Linked DNA regions of Mus musculus: region 2 is reported to be linked to region 1. The links are microRNA targets in miRTarBase. Many come from high-throughput screens and were not tested one by one. Region 1 holds a microRNA gene; the other region holds the end of a gene's coding sequence.

Region 1 (4,067 bases):
TGGAAATTGATTAGTGACAAGCCATCTGCATAGACATGGAACACACTCTCTCCTGCAAAAGGACCTCTCCTTTGAAAAGCCCTTTGTGTGTTTTAAACAGCATTTTAAAGTTGAGTTCTGTTGAGGAAGCTAGAGATAGTCAGGGCTGCAAAACTTACATACCTGTGTTCAAGTATTTAGAAATTTAGATGCTTTGCAGAGATCTGTGTCTTTTATTTTTAATTGAGATTTGAAAAGGAGTGTATTCATTTTATAAACAGAACCTGATTCCTGGTGCTTTCCAGTAATCCCATTAACCTTCTACTTAGAATATGCTTATGCTAGCTATGAGAAAACTCAACTATTGTTATGTAATGAACGAATAGAGTCTATTGACCTGCCTTTGAGAATTTAGTTGTTTACAAAGACAGACAACCCATCTGGTAAATTTTCTGCTTGTTTTATTTATAAGGAAATAGTTGTGCTGTGTGAGTTTTGTGGGAATCCCTTGTCTTTGCTTCTCAGAGATCCAGGGTATAAGTGTGTATGCTGCTGTTCTGACATGCAGGCCTTTCGTGTCACCTGGGAACTCAGATGTTAAAAGATAAGTGGTGGGGAGAGGGAGAGGAGAGAGGTAAGAGAATGGCTGTAGTTTTTACGTGTATCTCAGAAGAAAGACTGGAAGCTGGGGCGGGGGTGGGGAGGGGGTAAGGGTGGCTTGTAGGACTGGCATGCTTTTAACATTCTTGAAATTACTTCACTGTGTCTGTCCTTCCCTTGGCAGAAGGGCTGTGATCTCTCCTGCAGAGCTGAGTCAATTTGCTCTGTTTGCTTGCTTGCTTGTTTGTTTGTTTACAGAAACTGCAAGAAGTTGAGTCTGTGTCCCTTCCTCTGTTTCACTTTAATCAAAATAAGTCTGAGACCGAAGTGCGTTTCTCTTCACCATCCTGATGATTTAAAAAAAAAAAAAAAAAAAAAAAAAAACCAAAAAAACAAAACTCCAGATTTGGGGTCTGAGCTGTTCGATGACATCCTTGCAAAAGCATCTCAAATAGTCATCTTTTTGGTTCAGTTCAAAATTTAAAGATTTATGGGTAGGATACATGTGGGGTGACCTCACAGGAAACTGTCCCCAGACGCCTTGGCTGCCCTGATAGCCCTGCAAAGGCCTGGCAAAACTGTAAGAGGCTGGACCTGAGGGGAAAATGCCTTTCTCCCAGTTTCCTGATCTTTGTGTCTGGGAATGGGGCTGTTTCCCCTCCTGTCCTGCAATCTTATTCCAGCCCAAGGCTGAGAGGACAGGGGAGAGTGAGGAGTCCAGCGTCCTCCTTTGTACAGAGCTGCTTCCACGGGGAAGGTGGAGTGAGGCTGAGGTCCAAGAGTTTCCATTTCTGCGGCTTCCCCTACCCTGTCCTCTCTTGCACTTCCTATGAGTCACCATGGAGATGTCATCTCTTCCCAACCAGCACCTCACTGTGGCTTCTTAGTGTCTTCCTTCTTACCCAGAGTGGATTAAGTAACCCAGCTTCTGTGACTTGAGCTTCCAAACTAAGGATGATCCGACTTACTGTACCACCGCAGGGAGAGGAACTGTGAAACCCTGGTCTTGCGGCTTAGGGTGTTTGGGTGTGACCCTTACCACTCCATGCAGAGAGCCCTTCCAGGTCATCGGGAACATTCTCCCGGCCTGCATGTGGAGCTGGTGTCAGCTGTAACGGACACAAACTCAGCAATAAGAGGAACGCAGGCCTGAAATGTTGTTCCCATGTCTCAAGAAAGCATCAGCTTTGAAGTTGTTCTATGTTCCTGGTTTATAACGTCAGAAATTTCTCCTTTTGAAAATAATCAGTATTGGAATTCTATTTTACATTTTCCTAGACAGGGTCTTATTCTATGTTCAGAGTATCCCTGCCTCAGAGCCCTCTGGTACTGGGATTATAGACGTGAACTCCACTCCTGGCTAGAACACACTTGAAAAGAAAACATACATATATATATATATATATATATATATATATATATATATATATATATATATATATAATACTTTAAGAAATGGAAATGTGTTACATTAAAAATGTGGCCTCTTTATTTGTATCCAGCACTGATAATATGCAGACAGTAAAGTAATTGCTTTGTTTACATATACATTGACTATTTGTGTTTGCCACTGTTTGAGTGGGACAGTCATAGGTTACAGAAGTGATTGAATATATGACTCGATAGTGTGGCTCAGCTCTCTCATGTGTGTCAGAATACAAACAACAGTGATCCTTAGTAAAAATATAAGACCTTGTTATTTTTATAACTCATAGATTAACACTGATGAGTTTTGGCCTGAAGATAAATCCAGATATGCTTGACCAAACCCTCTATATGTATTACCATTAAGTAGACCTCACCGGGCGTGGGGGGACTCACCTTTAATTCCAGGACTTTCGAGGCAATGGCAGGCAGATCTCAGTGAGTTCCAGACTAGCCTGGTCTATATAGTGAATTCTAGGACAGCCCGGACTACATAGAGAGACCCTATCTCAAAATCCAAACCAATCCAAACCAAACCAAACAAACAAAATAAAATTAGAACTCAACCTGAAGAATATACATCGAGTCCTACCTAACAGCTTATTTTTATTAAATTTTTCACCACGCACTTCATTTTATGTTTCTATACATGCACAGGGTTGCATGTGCTGTGGTACACACACAGAGGTCGGCTCTCTCCTTCCAACATGGGGTTCTTAGGGATTGATCCCAGGCCATCATTCTTGGCAACAGCGCCCTTTACCCACTGGGCCATCTCAACAGCCTCCTATTTTTATTTGAAGCAGCATTTGATGCAGAGTAGCCCAGCACAGTCCTCCTTGCTTGTTCCTATGTAGAGTGGTGAGGCTGAAGTTGGGGTCGGTGAGTTTCCAGTCCAGGGCTCTACACTGAGCACGCTGTAGATGGTTTGCTCTCGGTCATTCATTCTAGATCCCGGGTATCAGGACATGCTTAGTGTGGGGGTCTTCACACGCCTCCTTCCACCGAGGCACTTTTAATACAGCGTGTCCCTTTGCCTTTGCTCATGGCTCTATTGTGTGCACCCCTGTTTCCTTGCTGCATGTTCTCCTTACCTGCTGGAAGAAGGGACTTAGGAATGAGTGCTCATGCAGAACAGGGAAGCCGAACACACTTGCTCGGCTTTACAACCGGGGAACTCTGCATTTTCCTTAACACTAATATTTGCTCAGGGAAAATAGTGACCTTGTCTAAATAATACATTTTGATCATAACAACTTGATGCTCACAGTTGTTTCTAATTTTTAAAACATCATTTACTGTTTTATCATGGTTCTCTCTTAAAAGGGAGAATGCAGAAAGGTTTAATTCCTATATTGTCATAGTAACAGCATAGTTGTCAGGATGAGGAAGAAATGTTTTGTACTTGAGATAAAGTTGTAGGGGGTTCACACCTCCGCTCTGTCCCCTGCAATGCCCTTCATAGGTAATTGGCTAGGCTTTCCATTTCAAATTTTCTGTGGCAGGCTGCTCTTATTTCCACCACTGATCACCATGGCAACAGGTACTCTCTTCTATTTTTGGAGCATGAAAATAGTGCCGTCTTTTCTCTAATAATAAGTGATGGCTCCAGAAAACCAGAGCTGTGAAGACTTGTTTTTCTTTGCTTCTTTAAAAATCTGAAATACTGTAATGTTTGTGACTTTGGAAATCTTTCATTATTCACTAACAGGGATAGTGGTATTCCGAGGCTTGTTCACTTAGCTACACACCTGTGTGCAGATAGAAAAATCAATGAAGTTAAGTAGCTGAACAGGTTGTTGGAGCTTACAGTTGTGAGGACTGGAATCTAGCTAGCCCAGGTGGCCTGTCCCCACATTAACCCATGCCACTGTCACTGTGGGTCCCTGTTAGAACAGCATCTGCCTCTGAGAATCCCTGACCCTTCAAACAGTGCTTATAAGATACGTGCCTCAGGGCACATAGACTCGGAGAGCAGAAGATCATCGTGCTGGTATGGAAAATTCACCTAGCCAGATGCCCCACCACAACCTTCCAGATGAGGTAAGTTCAGTATTCCTAGT
Region 2 (4,067 bases), not on the chromosome of region 1:
GAGAGATGGCATAGCAGTTAGGAGCACTGACTGCTCTTCCCAAGGTCCTGAGTTCGAATCCCAGCAACCACATGGTGGCTCACAACCATCCATAATGAGATCTGATGCCCTCTTCTGGTGTGTCTGAAAACAGTTAAAGTGTACTCACATATAATAAATAAATAAATCTTTTTTAAAAAAGTCTTTAAGTCTTTAAAAAAAAAAGGACTGTAAAGATGATGACTCAATGATTAAGATTTCACACTGTGCATCTAGAGAGATGACTCTGCAGGTAAGAGCACTGACTACTTTTCCAGAAGTCCTGAGTTCAATTCCCAGCAACCACATGGTGGTTCATAGCCATCTGTAATGGGATCTGATGCCTTCTTTTGGTCTGTCTGAAGACAGCTACAGTACACTCATATACATAAAATAATTAAATCTTTTTTTAAAAAAGTACACACTGCTCTTCAAGAAAACCCAGGTTTGATTTCCAGTACCCATATCAGGCCTATAACCCCATCACCCTCTTGGTCTCTGATTAGTGACAAACTGGCAAGCTAGCTCAGTAGTTAAAAGAACTTAAAAGAAAAGTGGTTAAAACATTTTGATGAGACCCAGGTTCAGTTTCCGGTGCGCGCGCACACACACACACACACACACACACACACACACACACACACACACACACACACACACAGTGCTCACCACCATTTGTAACTCCAGTTTCAGGGACTCTGTCGCCCTCTTCTGGCCCCTGGGCACCAGGCCCAACATGGTACACATGTATACAAACTTCCAGGTATAACAGCACTCATGAACATATAGTAAAAATTAGTAAGTTGGGGAGGGAAACATAAAAAAGCCCTCTTCACCTGCAAATCTCTTGTAGGTGTTCCAGTGGCTCCTCACCCCCCCCCCATCTCTCACATTCAAATCTATTGTTAAATCCCCCTGTGACTAGTAAATATCTCAGACATATAGGCACTCAGTAAGAATGTAGTCTATGCCCTTCCCAAGATAGCTATCCACTACTGTGCCTTTGTAACTTGCCATCCTATGGCTGCCTTTACTTTCTGGTGTTTTCACGGTCTCATCTCTCATCTCTTAGGTAATTGCTGGCTTTAATCGCCTTCGGCAGGAACAGAGGGGCTTGGCTTCCAAAGCAGCTGAGCTGGAGATGGAATTGAATGAGCACAGGTAGGAAGGCCGCAGAGAAACAGAGTGATTGGATGGAGGCTTGTGGGGATCAGGACGCATTCTGAGGTCTTGTTCTCCTACCCTAGCCTGGTGATCGATACACTGAAGGAAGTGGATGAGACCCGCAAGTGCTACCGCATGGTTGGAGGTGTGCTGGTGGAGCGGACTGTCAAAGAAGTGCTGCCTGCCTTGGAGGGCAACAAGGAGCAGGTGAGCAAGAATTCCTCTATAGGCGTTTGGGCAGCCAAGAGGTTAAATGTAGGTGACTAGGGATTTAGGGAATTCATGTTGATGGTAGCATGCAGCCTGTTAGCTATCTACTGTGCCCTTTATACTATTACAAAGTTGAAGTCCAACTCCTTAAGTGAGGAGTTGTTGGCTGTGTGCCCTTTCCATGGGCTCTTTGATGTGGTTGAGTGGGGAGGGAATGGGTAGAGCAGTGTTTCTCACAATATAGTCTGTGGATCCCTGAGTCAGAATCTCCTGAAGAACTTGTTTAGCAGTGTTGGGCATCAGACCCAGGGCCTCATGCGCAGTAGGCTAAATACTCTTCTCATTGAGCTACACCTCCAGCCAAGGACCAGTTTAAAATGCAGCTTCTTAAGAGCTCTCGATCCACGGAACCAGACCCTTAAAGAAACCATAAGTGACCTTTTAAAGGGAGAAAGAATCCTGACTGGGGTGGCATACATTGATGTTTAACTTGCTGAGATGATGAGGCAGAGGAATCGGATTTGAAGCCTGCTTGGGCTAACTAAAAATCAATCACTTAAAAAAAAAATGAATGTGACCTAAGAGAAGAAACCATAGCATGACAAATGCTCTTTTAAGAGCAAGCAACCCACCCTCCCTGGGCAGGGACTGAGGGTGGAAAGTTGCTGGAGAGGGGACAGTAATTGTCTTAAGTGATGTAGCTGCTGGTGAGCCACTAGTGCTCCTGTGGGTATCTCCATCCATTCCCACAAGGGTGCTCCAGGTTAGACTCATGGGCCACAAAACAAAACAGAGAAATACGATTATGAGATGGGATGGGTTGGTGGCAAGTGGATGAGAGTGGGCTGTTTGATCATATGCTTTTATAACATTATCAAAGAATAATGAAAATAAGTAGCTCAGATGGTTCCCCTTTATAAGCCACTGTGTTCTTGTCTCACTGCCTCCAACTGTAGCACAGTCCGGGGCAGAGGAGGGAGACCTGCACTCCTTCTCCATCCTCTCTTTTGCCTCTTAGATACAGAAGATCATTGAGACACTGTCACAGCAGCTTCAGGCAAAGGGCAAAGAACTGAACGAATTCCGGGAAAAGCACAACATTCGTCTCATGGGGGAAGATGAGAAGCCAGCAGCCAAGGAAAACTCAGAAGGGGCTGGGGCTAAGGCCAGCTCAGCAGGGGTGTTGGTCTCTTAGGAGCTAAGGCCTCTGCGGGTTTTTTTTTTTTTACCCTGATTCCCACTTGTAATTTCTTTTTATTGTCGTTATTATTATTTCTCTGCTATTGTAATATTTTGTTTTTGTTGTTGTTGTTGATTAAATGTTTTGGTCAAATACTTAGCTATAGCCTGAACCTTTATCTCATTTAGGGCTACACCGACCTCATAGAGCTGGGTGTGGTGCCACACATGCCTTTAATAATCTTAGTGCTTGGGTGACAACAAGAGGCAGATCTCGGAGTTCCAGGCCAGCCTGGTCTACAAATCGAGTTCCCAGTAATCCAAGGCTATATATAGACACAGTGAGACCCTGTCTCAAACAAAACAAAAAAATATGATTTGCATTGTTTCTACCAGGTTAATGGCTCACTATCAGAAAGGAACCTCAGTTCGGTCTTTCCTTTGCAAATAAAGTAATCTGTTTATTTGATGCTCTTCTAAAACGGATTCAGAGGGCTGGAGAGATGGCTCAGATGGCTCAACAGTGAAGAGCTCTGTCTGCTCTTCCAGGGGGCATCTGTTTTATTATCCCCAACAACCACATGGTGGCTCACAACCATCTATAATGGGGTCTGATGCCCTCTTCTGGCACAAAGGTGTACATGCAAATAGGGCACTTATATAAGTAAAATGTATAAATCTTCTAAAGGATTCAGAGACAAAACTCTCGGATTGAAATTTAATAAGTATTTGAAGTAGGGCAATAGCTCTGATGAGATCGCTTTGTAGGTTTGCCACAACACAGAGTGCCTCCCTGCTGTTCTTTAGATGAAGAATTCCAGGATGCAAACCTGTGGGCTAGCTGTCCTGCCGTCCTCACCAAAACCCCCAACCAAATAAAGCTGGTCATTCCAAAGGCAAGTCCGATGGCCCACGCGCTTCAGTCCACGGTCTGTACTGGGGAAGTGGAACCACAGAGGCGGAGACTTGCCTGTGGGTTGAGAGCAGAAGGTGGTTACTGTGGCATTCTGCTCCGGCCTTACCCAGTACGCATGCCTGTCATCGTTCCCGTTTGATTTGTCAGCCTTTTCAGATGTTCAGTATTTATATTGTCTATTGTATTTTGTTTTTGAAACAGGGTCTCACTCTGTCACCCTGGCTAGTTTCACACTCTAGATCAAGTTGGCTGGCCTCAAAAACTACCAGAGATCTGCCTGCCTCTGCCTCTGCCTCCCAAGTGCTGGAATTAAAAGTGTGAATCACTATGCCTGGCTCTATTTTTTGTTTGTTTGTTTTTCAGCAGTCCACACACTTTTGCCTCCTGAGTAGCATACATCACCACAACCGGACTGCATTCCTTTAACTCATCAACTGATTTCTCCTCCTTTCTATCCCACCACCCCTGTTTTGTAATTTTTAGCTGTGTCTTTTTCTCCTCCCTTTCAAATGATAGCTTGGCGCTCACGGGTATCGTAGATGTAGAGATCATTGCAGATCGTATCTCTAGCTCTGGTCAG

The links. Region 1 holds the annotated microRNA mmu-miR-3092-3p (GAAUGGGGCUGUUUCCCCUCC, at 1,221-1,241, shown strand). A microRNA usually pairs through its seed, bases 2 to 8, with sites in the 3' UTR of a target mRNA and lowers its output. Matches are read on the target gene's strand: a 7mer-m8 pairs with bases 2 to 8, a 7mer-A1 pairs with bases 2 to 7 and ends in A, and an 8mer does both.
Region 2: the mRNA of Klhdc9 is a reported target of mmu-miR-3092-3p. Seed matches in the 3' UTR shown: 8mer at 3,174-3,181.

The regions. Positions count from the first base shown.
Region 1 is chr3:27,582,089-27,586,155 of GRCm38, reverse strand. It overlaps Mir3092 (microRNA 3092), which reads left to right and starts at 1,161; the gene lies at 1,161-1,256. All of the region lies in intron 3 of Fndc3b (fibronectin type III domain containing 3B), which reads left to right.
Region 2 is chr1:171,355,440-171,359,506 of GRCm38, forward strand. Klhdc9 (kelch domain containing 9) reads right to left here. Exons shown (of 4, transcript NM_001033039.2): 3 at 4,016-4,067; 4 at 3,010-3,541. The coding sequence ends at 3,375. Pfdn2 (prefoldin 2) reads left to right here. Exons shown (of 4, transcript NM_011070.4): 2 at 1,091-1,179; 3 at 1,266-1,389; 4 at 2,411-3,815. The coding sequence ends at 2,587. Among named protein-coding and RNA genes, the nearest start is that of Klhdc9, 3.3 kb to the right of the region's middle.